Drosophila melanogaster: one gene and its partner. The protein of the gene in region 1 purifies or fractionates together with the protein of each later gene. This does not show direct contact. Each region holds a gene or a part of one and is shown in the gene's direction. Other genes may lie near its edges.

Region 1 (9,355 bases):
ACAGTGCAAGAGATCATGCCTTTGTTAGCTCCTATAAGCTCTAAAAGCCTAGAGTTATGGTTCGGTCATGCAGGATCTATCGATCTATTACCTTTTGCTCGGCATTCTCTTCATCTGCGTCTTCATCCTCGCCCTTTGAATTCTCCTTGTCCTTGCCGTCTTCGTTCTTTAGAGAATCACTCAATTGTTAGTAATGTTTTTACATTACGAAACTGTTTCGAAAAAGTCGGTCTTTAAGGCAACAAAATTGCTCAAGAATATTGAAATTCACCATATTCCTGTACTTTTCGTGAAAAGTTTTTTTCGTCAAACCTAAAGACCAACTTTGGAAAATCTCTCTATAGATATTTGGTATTAAAAAAGCCTTTTTGTAAATTAAGTTGTCACATTCTCATTGTTAAACTAGCCGTTGATAAGTTGGTGTTAGAGTTTGAGTGTGTTGCATAGTGTTAGAAAAACAAGCTTGCGATTGGTTATAGTTTTTTTTTTTAGTTAATACAAATATATTTCCTTTTATTACAGGGGCAGCGCTTTTTTATGTTTTAGCATTAACATAACGGCTGCACAATAAATTTCAGCTCTCTACACTACTCCAACTTAGGCTTAAGTGCTCCGAGTAAGTATTCCGAGTCCTTATTACAGGTGTGTATAAATGGTACATACAAGTTGTTTGGATGTCAGTTAATGAATATAAATATTTTGATTAAAATTGTCTTTTCACCGGGGGCCAACACAATCGAATGCCCTCGTTTAAATACGCTCATGAACTTAGCTTAAGAACCGCAGTAGTCATAATGAATTCGTTAAAAATTGAAAGATCTTCGATTTCATGCTCTACCGATGAAGGTCTAAAAAGTCTCTAAATAAATCTCGTAGTTTTAAAAGTTAGTTTTGTAAATTTTGTATAATTTAAAAGGAAGATTGCACTTCATATTCTGCAATTATCTATACAACTCCCCCAAATCCCTATGGGCATAGAAATCGAAGACGGGCTCCATAAAATATTGATATATGTATGTAGAAAGTTGGTAGTATCTGTGCTGTTAGGTAAACATTGGGTGTTATTTCTGCTGTTAAGTGTAAGGGCTTTAGTTTCAAGACATTGCTGTTGTTGTTAATTCTATTGCTCTGCTGCAGATGATTGCTGGCTGCGTTTGTTGCGTCGTAACAGTTAACGGAAAATACGTGAAAATAGCTCAAGTTCAAACCTCGGCCTTCTCAGCAGCCTCCTCCTTGACATCCACATCGCCATCGCCGGCCTCCGTTTTCTTATCCTCCGCCTCCGTTTCCGCCTCCTCCTTCTTGGCATCGCCGTTCTCCTGCTTCAGTTCGATTTGGGCGGTACTAACTGCCGTGGTGTCGGCTGGAGCCAGCTTGAGGAACACCTCCAGGGTATCGATCTCGTTGGCCATGTCAAAGGCGTCGTAATCACCGCAGTACTCGTCGTCGTTGAACAGCTGCGGAGGAAGCGGATGACGGGGCTCTGGATCGCTGACCGTTCCACCGTTGCTTGTCGATTTGTTTTGCATCAGCTCCTTCTCGGATTCCTTGCCGGGCTCCGTGATGTCCACCGTGTCGTACTTGATGTTCTTGCTGTCCAGGATCATCAGAACGCGCTGCTGGCGCTTCTTCACCTGTAAAATTGGATTTCGACGGTCAGTGAAAGCATTTAAATTTGAAAAGAAAGTTAAAAATTAAAGTATATAAAATACCTTTAACATGTATCGTTTTGTTCAGTGTAGCTACCTTTGACAACGCTGTTAATTACAGCGATGACAAATCGCTAATGAAGTGTTACCGGCAAGCCCAAACGCACACAAGCGCACACAAAGCCAACTCCCCGCCGATATAAACATATGTACGTAAAAAGAACGCCAGAACCACGCGATATGATAAGGCTAATTAAAATGGTTTGTTGCACCCCAGCATTTATCTTACGATAAGAATATGTGTTTCCCAACGCTTTTTTAAAGTGTACAAAGACAGGACAAAAACAAATAATTGTGAACCGTACAATGACCGTTATGTTTTTGTTCTTATTGGAAGAGGAAGATTGCCAATTGAACAAAGGCACCGAAAGAGTGAGAGGGGGAAGTGAATCACCCCTCACGCATGTACACACACACACACATGCACACGCACCCACGCAACTGCGATCAATGGAAATCCCTCTCTTCCATGAACAATTTACAGTTCACAGTGGAATGAGCTTATATGGGCAATGAAATGTATGTTTGTTCTGCTTCTTGCCACCACTAACACTCGCACACAAGGGCACTCACGAAAATACCCACTTGTTTTTCTTTGACTGTACAGACATACAGACTTACATACCACACACTACATCATCATCATTGTCCAACTCACGTACATACACACAAAGACGAAACGCAGCAGAAGAAATAGAATTTGCAATGCGTTCGTCACCACTTTAGTTTGCTTCTTTTCCTTTTTATCTGTTTGTCGCTAATACCAGGGCCAAACATTCCAATAACATGACACTATTTCGGTTTTAAGCCCGCCACGCCCACAAACTCACCTCCTTATTGCCGGACATGCCGCTGACGTAGACTTTCAAGACCATTTTCGCAGATTACTGTGTCCTCGCACCGCAAATGAAATAATATTTTGCAACTAAAATCTGCTGGCTACTTTCACGGCGATTAAAAATATTTATAGATCTTTTCTTTTCCTGCTTTCTTCCGTCCTGCGCCCCTACGTAATGTTTTTCCACTGGTGACGAAGGCACACGCACTGGGCAAGGTCGTTGGTTTTATTGGCTGTAAAAACGGCAAAGACGCGGATAAAAAAATTGCCTGGCGACGCTTATAAAAGTGCAAAAATATTTGATATCAGGAGTGGAAAATATTTCCTACTTTGTCGTTGAATTGAATGGTGGGACCGCGCATTGACGGCTATAGAAAACCTTCCGGCTTATCAAATATACTAAATATGATGCTTGATTAAAATACTAAAAACTTTGAACTTAAGTGATATTTCAAAATTAAATATTTTTAAGACAACTTAAATTTTATTATGCTCCCATGTAAGGTTTTCATTTTTTAAACGTTCTTCGATTAATAATCGTAATAATAAAATAATAATTTATAAAAAGCATAAGATAGGCTTTTTAAGGTTTTTTAAAAGATAGAAGAAAAGGATTCTTATTATAGAACAAATTATTTTTAATTTGGCGTCGATGAGTTAGCGGCTTCAAGGAACGGTGGAATTTAGAACATGAGGGTGTTTTTTATTTATTAATTTTTTGTTACTTGGAGTTGAATTCCATAAAAATAAAAATGCAATAATGCTAACTTTCTACAAACGACTTAAGGTTATAGGACTCAAGAAAGTACATAGAATATGCAATTGAAAAATGTTCTCCCCAGACTTTTCGGTTATTTGAAGTTTTTGCTATATTTGGTAGAACCATAAAGTATTTTTTGGTATAGATCCGTTAGCAGGGCAACCAATATTAGCGGTCGCCATGCGGTCACTCTGTTCACGTCCCGTCACGCAAGCATCGTCGTCCATTTTTGCTAAGAAGCGAGACGAAAATTTGTAAATTATATCTAGCGAGTCGCCGAGGACGAACAACTATTGACAGTGCATTTCAGTGGCCTTTGGAATACTGCTCAAACAACCAGCAAGCAATAACATTACTTATATCTAACCGAAAACCTAAATTAATCACCCAAACTGAAGTACGGACGTGAATGTAAGTGGGTATGTGCCAGCGGACTAGTGGCACAATAAAAAAGTAAATAAAGCGCGTGTGAAGTGGTGCAGAAAGCAAAAAAGCAGTCGGAAGGAAAAATCAAAATACGCATTAATGTAAGTGCGATTGTTGGAAAAGCTGTTTAACTTTTTGTTCCTCTGAAAAGCTGATAATGATATGCGATGCGACCATTTTTAAAATTTCATGAAATCAACATTCCAACTCACAACGGTGTGCGTGTGCGTTTCTTTGTGTGCGTGCGTGTGCAGGCTAGAGTGGGACAACCAGTGTGATCGCTTTGGCTGCTGCCATTTCGTTTGCTTTTTTTTAAACTAATCTCTGGCATTTGTCACGTAAAAGAGTATAACGTTAAACCCAAAAACGTTTTGTATATGGCTTTAAATATTTAATAATTGTGGGCAGAGACAGCAACACCAGCAGCAGACGCATACACACGTGTTGCGGTTTATCGAGAGGGCAGTGTGCGTGTGTTAGTGCGGAAAACAGCTGGTACAGCTGCCGCTGCAGCGACGAAGAAGAAGAAAAGAAAGAAAGGGGAAGAGTGAGAAGAACACGCATTATTATCCTGCGTAGTTTTCTTTTATCGGTGGTTGTTCTGCTATTGGGTTACAGTTTACACTTTTCTCTGTTTTCTTTATTTTCCCTCTGCATTGCTATGCATTTTGCCTTTGCGTGGTGGTTTTTTTTATTTTCATTGTCGGTCGTCCTTTAATTGCGCTGCGCCACTTCGTTTCGTCGCTTTCTTTGGCTGGTTTCTCCTTCTCTTCGGAGTTTCTGGATTCGTATTCCGATTCGGTATCGCCCTTTTCCTGCGACAACAGCAGCTGGGTGCACGGTATCGGAGCTGTCGGCGATAGCCGAAAGAAGCTAGAAACCCCAAGGAAGCCAACATCCTTTTAATTGTCGTGGAAACTATAATAGTCTCATAAAAATTAGGTTTTTAAAATGGTTTTGTCATTCTATTCTAGAAAAAGCTATGAATATAAGAATATAACAATATGTTTAATTGCTTACTAATTTTATTGAACAATATAATTTAATCGTGACGAAATGGGGGAAAAAAAACATTTTTTTGTTGTCTTGAATTTTTTTTCCTCTCTTGTCATGATTATTTAGGTAAAACGGACGTCATCAAAGTCATTAAACTTACGCGAACTTCGCATTTAAAAGTTTTTTACTGGCATTTCTATTTTTAATAGCTTTCTGGGGAAAATATCGGATAATAGCTTTTCAAATTATGCATTGCTAGCAACTTTGACTAGCGAAAAGTATTTACTAAAAATTTTTGTACCTTCCTATTTTCGGCGCTCTTTTTAAGCAAAGGCCCTTGTTTTGTAGCGTTGAAGCCTCAAATTATTTCCAAAATCACGCCCCATAAGCGATAAGATAAGAGAGCGTACAATTGTTGCCCACGATACATACAAGGCGAGAAAAAGTCCAAATTGCCAGCATTGGCGGCCATAAATCGCTGCACCATTTTCTTTTATCGGCTGCGTGTGCGTGAGTGCACGCCTGTGAATCCTGTTTTTTCCTTGAAACCAGTTTGCGTCCGTCTTTTCTTTGCCAGCAAGGTGTTCACTTCACCTTACTCATTCATTGTTTGTTTGCCCATTGCAGCCGACGCTTGATCTTCCATCTGCAGCATCCATCATTTGGAATCGAGGCAATAATCAGCATCTACCGACAATCAAGCAAGCCATCTATCTATCAGAAGACCACCGGGTAGTAGAACCTCAATCATAGCGATGGCCTGTGCAACCCTGAAACGAGCCCTAGACTGGGAGTCGATGAACCAGCGGCCTCCGAAGCGCCGGCGTTGCAATCCCTTTGGCCAGGCTGGGAGCAATGCAGGTCCAGCGTCGCCATCCCGCGACGGTCCCAGCACCTCGGCTGGTCTGCCCCACACGCCCAGCAACCGATTCGCCAAGGATAGCACCGAACCTAGTCCGTTCAGTGAGTCGTCGCTGGCCAAAATGTCACCAGGTTAGTAAATCAGGTCGATGCTGGAAAAGGGACGTCGGATTCCTTTTATGCATATTACCTTAATACACCTTTCTTCTTTTCGAAACACAGACAAAATGGCCGAGAGCTTGTGCAATGAGATCAAGAGACTGCACAAGCGCAAACAGCTGCCGATCACTTCGTCGGCCTTGGAACGCATGCAGGATTCGGAGTCCAGCGGATCGGAGATGGGTCCAGAGAGTCCGCGCCGCCCGGACAGTCCACAGAACCTGATGCGCCACGGCGAAAAGGCCCTGTTCACGTTCAAGCAGGTGCAGCTCATTTGCGAGAGCATGATCAAGGAGCGCGAGAATCAGCTAAGGGAGCGCTACGAGTCCGTGCTGACCACCAAGCTGGCCGAGCAGTACGATGCCTTTGTCAAGTTCACATATGATCAGATACAGCGTCGCTACGAGGCAGCGCCTAGCTGTGAGTTCAAGTTACCATCGGTCATGGTTATAGTGCTAATTACATTATATTTTTATTTCAGACCTGTCGTAAAGCTGTGTACACAGCTGTAGCCTCAGAAAGAAGAAATTAATAATTGCACTACGATCTTATGTGACGGTAGATCTACCGCGACAACAACAGCCCTCATAAACTATAACAAACAACAAATAAGGAAACTAAAGCAAACGCAAAACAAACCAACAAAAAAAAAAAACCTAAAAAGCAAAAAACCTAAAAACAAACAAAAAAAAAAAAACAAACTACAACATACATCGTGTTTAATATATTTTGAAATACACGCGAAGAAAACGGTTATAGTTTATGCCTAGATTTACATATATATATTGTATCGGTTAGCAGCAAAGGGATGAATTATTTAAAAGCAAGCAAAAACCACAAAAGAGAGAAACCAACAAACCAACTTGTTAAATTTATGTTTTTCACATAACGCAAATTCTAAATAAAATGACAAATATCAAATTATGAACTATATGAACTATAAGCACACCGCCACTGCAGACATATACATATGGGTGCATCCGTAGAGAGAACGATTCAATGAAACCTCAAACGTAGCTTCGTACATAACAGACCGACAGAATTGGCAAATATATAATGTTAGGCACATGATGTAGCATATAAGGTATGATGTAAAACCTATCAAACTACATATATTGTTTTTTTGGAAATTGTAATTTATGAAGCGAAGCAACAAAGATAACTCACAACTCATGAAGAACACTTTTCATAGTTTATTTTTGCATATTAGTTGTAACACTAAGGCGAGAAACGAACGCTTGAATTTGCCTATTTTCTCGAGTATCGTTTGTTAATTGTTTCTTCCTTTGATGCGAATTATTGCAAAGTAATGTAAACACACAAAACAATTGAAATGTTTCGATTTGCTTTACACCATACAAAAATGAATAACGAAAAGAAAAGGCAAACAACAAAAAAGGTATAAAAGTTATTCATTAAGTTAAATTGAACGCTTTCTTATAAAATACGCTTGACAGAAGATGTTTCATGTTCATTGCAATTATTTTTTCACACCTTGAAGAATATATACGAGAATATATGATATATATATATATATATATTTTTCAATTACCGCAATCATACATACTACTTTATATTAGTAATTTAAACTTAAAATTAGTAAAGAAATGCCATTTTTATATTAAAACAAACAAAAATAAAATGATGAATTGTAGATGCCCGCTGGTCTTTTCTTTTTAAAGCTTTTTATTCTGTTTGTGAAGCGAACTCTTAATTTCATCCGTTTATAAACCACAATATTCTTTTTTTTATACCAACCCGTATTATCCGAATAAAACTCAATTGGTTCTGGTTGCTCCAAATCCAGCTAATGCTAAATGATTAACCAGGTTTTTCAATATAATTTGCGAATCTAGCAAAACTGCCATAGGTGGGGAAAAGACTGAGCAAAATGAGAGATACCTTTTGTGCAAAACTTTCCATTTGTGAATAAAATTATGAATAACCTTTACAGTGGCTTCTCCAGACTCTGAGAATATTCATTTTGATTTATTTAATGTGTTTGTGCGTTCAACAGAAACTTTCCAAACTTAACACTAGTTAACTAAAAATACGCTTGATTCACATGCTTACAATTACATAATAATGCATTAAAAAGTCTTCAATAATAAATACATTTAGTTCAAAACTCAATTGAACGGAATGAGGAGGGCTATCTTATCATCATAATCAATTCAAAGCCGACGTGGAGCATCTCCCGGCTAAAAAAAACTTCGATATTCATAAAATTCCACAAGTAAACTAAGGAAAGGCTCTTGGGGGACACAACGACTTTCTAAATGGTGGGTGGATGATCTGGGGGGATCTGACCCGGAAGGCACTACAAATGGTAGAATGCTGTCAATAATACAGGGGAGAGCTGTGAAAGGAAGGGGATCGATGGAAATTTCGAAATAAAAATATCAGTCGGTATGGTTAGTTTCTGCATGTTTGCTTTTCGAAGAGCGACATCGATATCGATATACGAATGTGGAAGAGCGAATGGCTGTGAGAATCAGAGATGCTTCTTTTCCTTCATCGGCGAATCCTTGACGTTTTCTGCCTGCTGGACCGCAGCGAACGTCGTGCGCGAAAAGGGATCCACACTCGCATCCCTGAAGGTCTTCTTTTGGGTCGGCAAACTCTTGGTCGGCGCCGATGTAGCTGGTGTGGGTGTGGAGGACCCGGATTGGGCGCTATTCAAATGCGTCTGGCTCCTCTGACCACCCAATCCTCCGATCAGCGACTGGTGAGGACTAAAGAAAGCGGCCGATGCTGTGCCATTGCGCAAACATTGTTCAGATTCTCCGCCAAACATGTGAGCCGATGAATTGCCGGACAGCGGGGCATCCAGCCAGCAGCGCTTCACGGATATGGCCAATTGATCCTTGGCCTTGAAGATCTGCTCAATAATCCCATCGATGAGGGAGCCAAGTGTATCGTATTCATTGGGCACCATTCCATCGACACTGCTCTCGAAGTAGCTAAACATGGGAAACCAAACACGCGTCCTCTTGGAGTCGCTTTGCATGAGAGCCTGTGGAAATAAATTATTATTAGAATGCCCTTTCTAAACAAAAACGAAGCTGTTAAATGCTCACCCTGTTATTTGCTAGAGTATGATAGTACAGAAACAGACGTGAGGTGATATAGAAGGCCACAAACACATCGATGGAGTAGTGCTCGTGGGCAGCCAGGATGAAGAATATGCCAAACATGTTGAGCAGCCAGGTCAGCGTGTGCAGGAAGTACAGATTCCGCGGCGTGTCTGAAAGATCAGAGTGTAAGTCAGTAAGCAGCATAGGAAATATAAATAAATAACACACATTCTGTGATAAAGAAGTTGAGCAGGGTCAAGGCCACCGTGTGACCACTAAACATATAATCGCCGCAGGTCCGCACTCCCTGAATGGACATGCCCAGGCCGCTCCAGATGCGATAGGCTCGTGACATGCGGATAATCAAGGCGCCCACCATGTCCACATTGGGATCATCGATGGCAAAGTCCTTCTGGCTGCACTGCAGATGCGTTCCCGGTACGCTCAGCGACGTGATCAACATGGTGACGCAGCGCAGCAGGAAAACCGTGCCCGCCAGAGCAAAGAATCGCCTCAGTAGGACCAATCT
Region 2 (5,525 bases), on another chromosome or scaffold:
ATACGATCTTTTTACAGCGCAAATTGTAAACAGTGATTCTAATCTCTTAGTGGTAGAAACCCAAAATGATGTCCGTCTGCTCATCGATCTGTCTGTCTGTCTGTCTGGAATTTAGCTGATGAAGATTATCCAGGATTTCGCGTGTTATGAAAAATGAAAATAAGAAGACCGAAGACAAATGAACTAACCTTAATATCTCAATGAACTTTTTCTTCCTTTCACGATAATGCAATTTCCTGTTTCTGACTCTTGATGGGGCTCTTGTTTTGTCCAACCAATCATAAAGAATGCGATTCGTACGAACCTTTCCTTACACAAGTGCTTTGTACGTTATGAAGATGACTTTGGCTCGTTTTGGATGGTCGACGATAATGAGTTTGTCAAAAGGCGGCACTTGTCGAGAGGGAGACCCCGGAAATATGAACCGTCCTCCTCCCCAAATTCATGCCAATCCGGCAATGGTGTGCCCACTGATAAGAATCCCTGCGACAATTGTACGCAACATTGCACTAGTTTGCCACCGGGTGCTGATAATCCTCTAGATTCCAATAATCCAAATGATTTAGGCAGAATTGGTTGTCTTCCCTATTGCGGTAGTGATGGTTTAAGTAAAGCGTCCAAGGACTATAGCAATATGGACTCGGGTATGATCGAAAGTAACAGCCACTTGACAATCGATGAATATTCTACTAATATGTACGAGAGTAGTGCCAATGAGCACAATCGATAAATAATATATCATTAACTATACATATATTTAGATGCATTGTCGAGTAATCTGCGTTTGGTAAGAAGGTTCGGATTCGGAAATTATATCTGTACATACACATGGTTCTATGTATAATTTCCCAAATAGAAATGAAAAAATACTTTTAAAATAAATTTCACTAATGCTATAAAATAAACGAAAGAACTACGTTAAATTATTAAAGCAAAATTAATGTGTTTAAACTTGCTTTAATAACTCCACTTATAACACGATTTTAATATACGAGTACAACATATATGAATATTTTCACTTTTCAGCAAGGGAGAAAACATTTAAAAGCTATAGCTTGATAAAATTTTAACAAAACTGTTTTAAAAGTCACAATATGATTTTTTTTTAAGGAAACTATTTTCAGGTATACCTTCTGTTAAAAATCTGGACCCTTGAGAGCTTTAGATTTGGAAACTCCTTAGTAAACGTATATGCTTTTCTGCTGACTTATCTAATTTCCTTCTAATTTAAGATCATTAACGATACTCAGTGACCTAAATAAATTCCTCAAATATACAACAAAGTGAACAAACTGAATTTTATTTCTAGTTCCTAAGCAAACGGTTTACGCGACGTAAAAGCGGTTAAATCGGCTTCTCAAAAGTTTGTCAATCAAAGTTTTCTACCAATTCATTATTTTAAAGCGGTCTTTAGTATATTTTAGTATATTCTATTGGAGATTTTTTGGACTGCCACTATTTAAGGAAAAACAACCGATAAGAATGGACGCATTCGTGAACTTCTGTATCTTAAATTTAATAAAATATATACAGCCTAAGTACACATATTGTAGTCAATGTCAATTTAATTTGAAAGTAAAGTTTTTGTTTACCAATAAATTTGTTTGGAGAATGTATCGATACCGTCGAATTTTCCGGCAACCATCGATACAGTCGGGCGGCATCGGTTTTCGTCCCAGCTCTAGCCAGTACGGTCACTCTGAAAGTCTCTCAACGTTTTGTGACATGAAAATTCAACGAGGACACTGTGTACATGAATAGTTGAAAAATTAAAATGGTTTCCATGCAATTTGTTTTGCAACCGCTACCGGGCTCGGACGATCAGTTTATTGAAAGGTAAATATAATCCTCGCGTACCGCAATTACGCACATGTGAACGCGGAATTCCGTGTAATTGTGTACGTACGGCTGCATGTATTTGTTATGTGAAAATATGTAGGTACGCAGCTATATGTATACGCAGGAAGATATGTACATATGATCATTAACGTAAAACGCGAGCCACAGACACTGGCGGACTTACCTCATCTAGTGCCGTCCACGCGGTTCTGTAAACATTAGCCGCAGAATTTGCGAAATGCACTTGCGTTTCCCACTTTTCATCCACAATTAATTCTCTAACCATTCGCATATGTGTGTGTGTGCGAATGTGTGCGACATGTGAACGGTAGCATGTGTGAGTGCATGTGCATACATGCTGATTAATTTGTTCATATTTAACTATTTGTGCTGAGCAAACTATTGAAATGTTTATATTATAAGCTTCTCGAAAGAAGCTTGCAGAAGTCCATGCTTCCGACTAAAATGTACAATGTTACAAACATGTTTTCACATGCTTGATTTGTACATTATATTTCGCCGAATGTCGCTCTTTCAGCACATGGCATGAAATCGTTCAGCGTTTTCCATAACCCAAAACCTTTAAACGCCAAATAATCGTAACACCGGCTCTTTTTCTTCCTTGGTGATGTGCACTTTTCTTAGAAGCTTTAAATTTTCCAGTCGTCAATCATAAAAAGTCTGGCAAGGCCAGAAATCATCCATAAAATGCACCCTACGCTTAGGAGATTTAGAACATGCATCGACTTGCTCGTATTCTTAATACATTTTCTCCCATTTTAGGATTCGTGAAGTGTCGGATAAGGTGAACCGATTTGGTTATGGCAGCCATCGCATATTCGAACAGTTGAAAATTCCAGTGAAGGAAGTCGTCATTGGTCCCGCGCACATTGGAGTTTTACTGGAGGATGGCAAGGCATTCCGCGTGTCCTTTTCTATAAATTCTGAGAAACTTGACTTGACCAAATCAGACGCAAAATGGTAAGCTTAATGGTGTACCAGTTACATAGATTCGAATGTTTGTTGATTGATGTTTATTTATAGTTCCACCAGTGGTGGCAGCGGAACGGCCAGTGCTTCGAAAGCCCCATCCTCATCCCGACCGATGGCCCGCTCAAGAGCACGCCTGCTGCGCGCAACAGGTCGCTCCAATTCCACCGGACAGGGGTCCGGATCTCGTAGCACAGGGGTCATCATTGGAGGCAGTACATCGAGCCGACCCTTAGTAACAGTTCCGGCTACATATGTGCCGGAGGAGCTCATATCCCAAGCAGAGGTGGTTCTACAGGGCAAGAGCAGAAATCTCATAATTAGAGAATTACAGGTAAATTCATCGATACAAGAACATCTTATTCGTGTAATATCATACAATTCCCTCAATAGCGCACCAACCTCGATGTTAACTTAGCTGTGAACAATTTGCTTTCGCGCGATGATGAAGAAGCTGAAGATACCGAAGAAGGTGCCGATAATTACGTGCCCGAAGACCTTATCTCCCTGCTGGATAATGGGTTCAGTGGAGATAACAACAGCGTCATCATAGATCCCTCAGATGGGCTTTTCTCGGAGGAGATATTTAGCAACTACTCCAGCATTCGAAAGTAAGTAATTTTAAATAAACACAAAAACCGAATTAAACTTATTGTTTTACATTTGGCCAGCTTGCTGTTCGATCGCATTCGTAGTGAACGCAGTAATGCCAACGCAAATGCCGCAGACAGTAACCAATCGACGACCCGCTCAACAAGTTCAGGCACTGCCTTAACTGGTAACAGTGGACTTTCAGCTCAAATATCAGTTAATGCTGACCGCGAGGCTTTTAGTCGTTGGCGGGATCGTCAGTACTACGGACCACGACGCTGGATAAGCAAAGACGACTATACCTGGGAGAAGGATGCTGGTAAGTTGATAAAATGCAAAGACGATGATCCTCTTGCTACACTGACACCTACTTTAATTTAGATTCCAAGAAAAAAGAGCCATCCCCCATGTTGTCCCCCATTTGGATATCTGAAGAATTGCAGCCATGGCCAGAGAAAAGTTCCGTAAGGTTCAAGACCATAGGAGCTTTGTATTCGGAGTTCATTGCCTTGTCAGAGAGCGGAGATTTGTACCAGTGGCGCTGGTCAGATGCAGAGCCTTATAAGTCGGAGGTAAGGAAATAATATAAAATAATATAAACCAAAGTTTTATTGAAATCTTTACTCATACTTTAACTCATAATTTATCCTATTTTGCAGACTGAAAACGTTTATCATCCCAAAACTGTTTCCCTCAACATAGTTGAAAGAGTGGAGCTTATTTCGGCCAACTTCATCAGATGCTCCGTTGTTACAGAAACCAATCGAGTAGCAACTTGGATGGACGAGCAACTAGGTTACATCGGCGCCAAGCTGGAGCACAGTTGCTGCGCGTTTAACGAGTTTATATCGGACTCCATAACAAAGATCTACGTCTGCTCGCTATACACGGTTGTTAAGACCGAAAGCAACAACATATATTGGTGGGGAGTCCTGCCGTTTGATCAACGCCGCTTCTTGTGGGACAAATTCCGGACCAAGACCAAGAAACCCTTTAAGGTGGTTGCCACCGATATTAATGTGGGTGCTCAAGTGATAATGAAGAAGTGTCCCATGTATCAATCTGGATCAATCGGATTCACATGCTCCAATGGCGTCCCAAAGGTGGGGCAGCTTTTGAATTCAGTCTGGACCTTCACCGATGTGTGCCGCATGAAAATCATAAATATTAACACGAACTCTGGCGTAGACAAATCCCAAGCAGCCGGCAATAATCTTAATGCCCATGGAATTACTCCGGATAAAGATCTGCCAAAGTCCACGGCAATGCCCAGCACTGGAAGTAGTAAGAATGGACAATCCTTCTCAAACAGCAAGGAGTCAACAGATCGCATCGACATGCCACCTCCGCCTTCACCGGCATCCAGCACATGCAGCGACACCGGCAGCGTCACATCCCACAAGCGTACTAAGCGAGCTACTACGAAAGAGGACTCCAATGCCCCGCAGGAGGGAAGGAAGGATGAGGAGCTGTGGGAAGTGAAGGACGTGGTGTTTGTCGAGGACAAGGTGGGCCCAGTGGGAAAGGTGCTTAAGGTCGACGGCGACTTTGTTGCCGTTCGTTTTCCGGCAATAAATGCAGCAGCCGTTGCTGCTGCTGCTGCCGCAACAAGTTCCACATCTAACACAGCCTCCACATCCAAGGAAGAGGGCAAGGAGGACGACTGGCAGCAGTGTCGGCTGCTGAGACGCGAAGATGTCCAGATATTTCGCACTGCTATGTCCACCCGTGGCCCAGACTGGTTGCAAAAACAGCCGAAAAAGATTAACGTTGGTGGTGATGCAGCTGGCGCACAAATACTCACCCTGGCCGTGGACTCGCGCGGCATTCATGTGATCAAGAAGGTTCTCGGCAAAATCCACTACAGCCTTTACAACCTGTATAACTGCAAGCAGGAGCAAAATTGCCTATTTCCCACGGACTGCAACTCTTTTATTGGCTCCACGCCTGGCAACATATTAATGGCTTGCAACGACGACTGCAGCGGAAACAGCAGTACCATTGTGCTTCGTGATGGCAATGGAGCCCTATATCCCTTGGCCAAGGATTGCCTTGGCTCGATCAAGGATCCGCAATGGTTTGATCTTCCTCCGGTGAAGTCAATC

Evidence for each region.
Region 2: the proteins of akirin (region 1) and hyd purify together in Drosophila melanogaster (affinity purification with western blotting, with the first as the bait; one study listed by BioGRID). This does not show direct contact.

What each region holds. Positions count from the first base shown.
Region 1 is NT_037436.4:7,366,351-7,375,705, forward strand, and holds akirin (akirin), read left to right. Parts: upstream 1-3,492; 5' UTR 3,493-3,718; exon of another isoform or gene 3,719-3,834; intron 3,835-3,989; exon of another isoform or gene 3,990-4,200; intron 4,201-4,449; exon of another isoform or gene 4,450-4,675; intron 4,676-5,356; 5' UTR 5,357-5,484; coding exon 5,485-5,722; intron 5,723-5,812; coding exon 5,813-6,169; intron 6,170-6,230; coding exon 6,231-6,241; 3' UTR 6,242-7,361; downstream 7,362-9,355. Other genes in the region: Sh3beta, read right to left, coding at 92-166, 1,209-1,634, 2,540-2,584; SMSr (sphingomyelin synthase related), read right to left, coding at 8,244-8,765, 8,830-8,996, 9,055-9,355. UniProt on the Drosophila melanogaster protein: Molecular adapter that acts as a bridge between a variety of multiprotein complexes, and which is required for embryonic development and for normal innate immune response.
Region 2 is NT_033777.3:9,721,775-9,727,299, reverse strand, and holds the start of hyd (hyperplastic discs), read left to right. Parts: upstream 1-1,684; 5' UTR 1,685-1,774; coding exon 1,775-1,836; intron 1,837-2,622; coding exon 2,623-2,820; intron 2,821-2,883; coding exon 2,884-3,163; intron 3,164-3,222; coding exon 3,223-3,440; intron 3,441-3,500; coding exon 3,501-3,739; intron 3,740-3,801; coding exon 3,802-3,992; intron 3,993-4,079; coding exon 4,080-5,525. Other genes in the region: FoxP (forkhead box P), read left to right, coding at 287-730. UniProt on the Drosophila melanogaster protein: E3 ubiquitin-protein ligase which accepts ubiquitin from an E2 ubiquitin-conjugating enzyme in the form of a thioester and then directly transfers the ubiquitin to targeted substrate.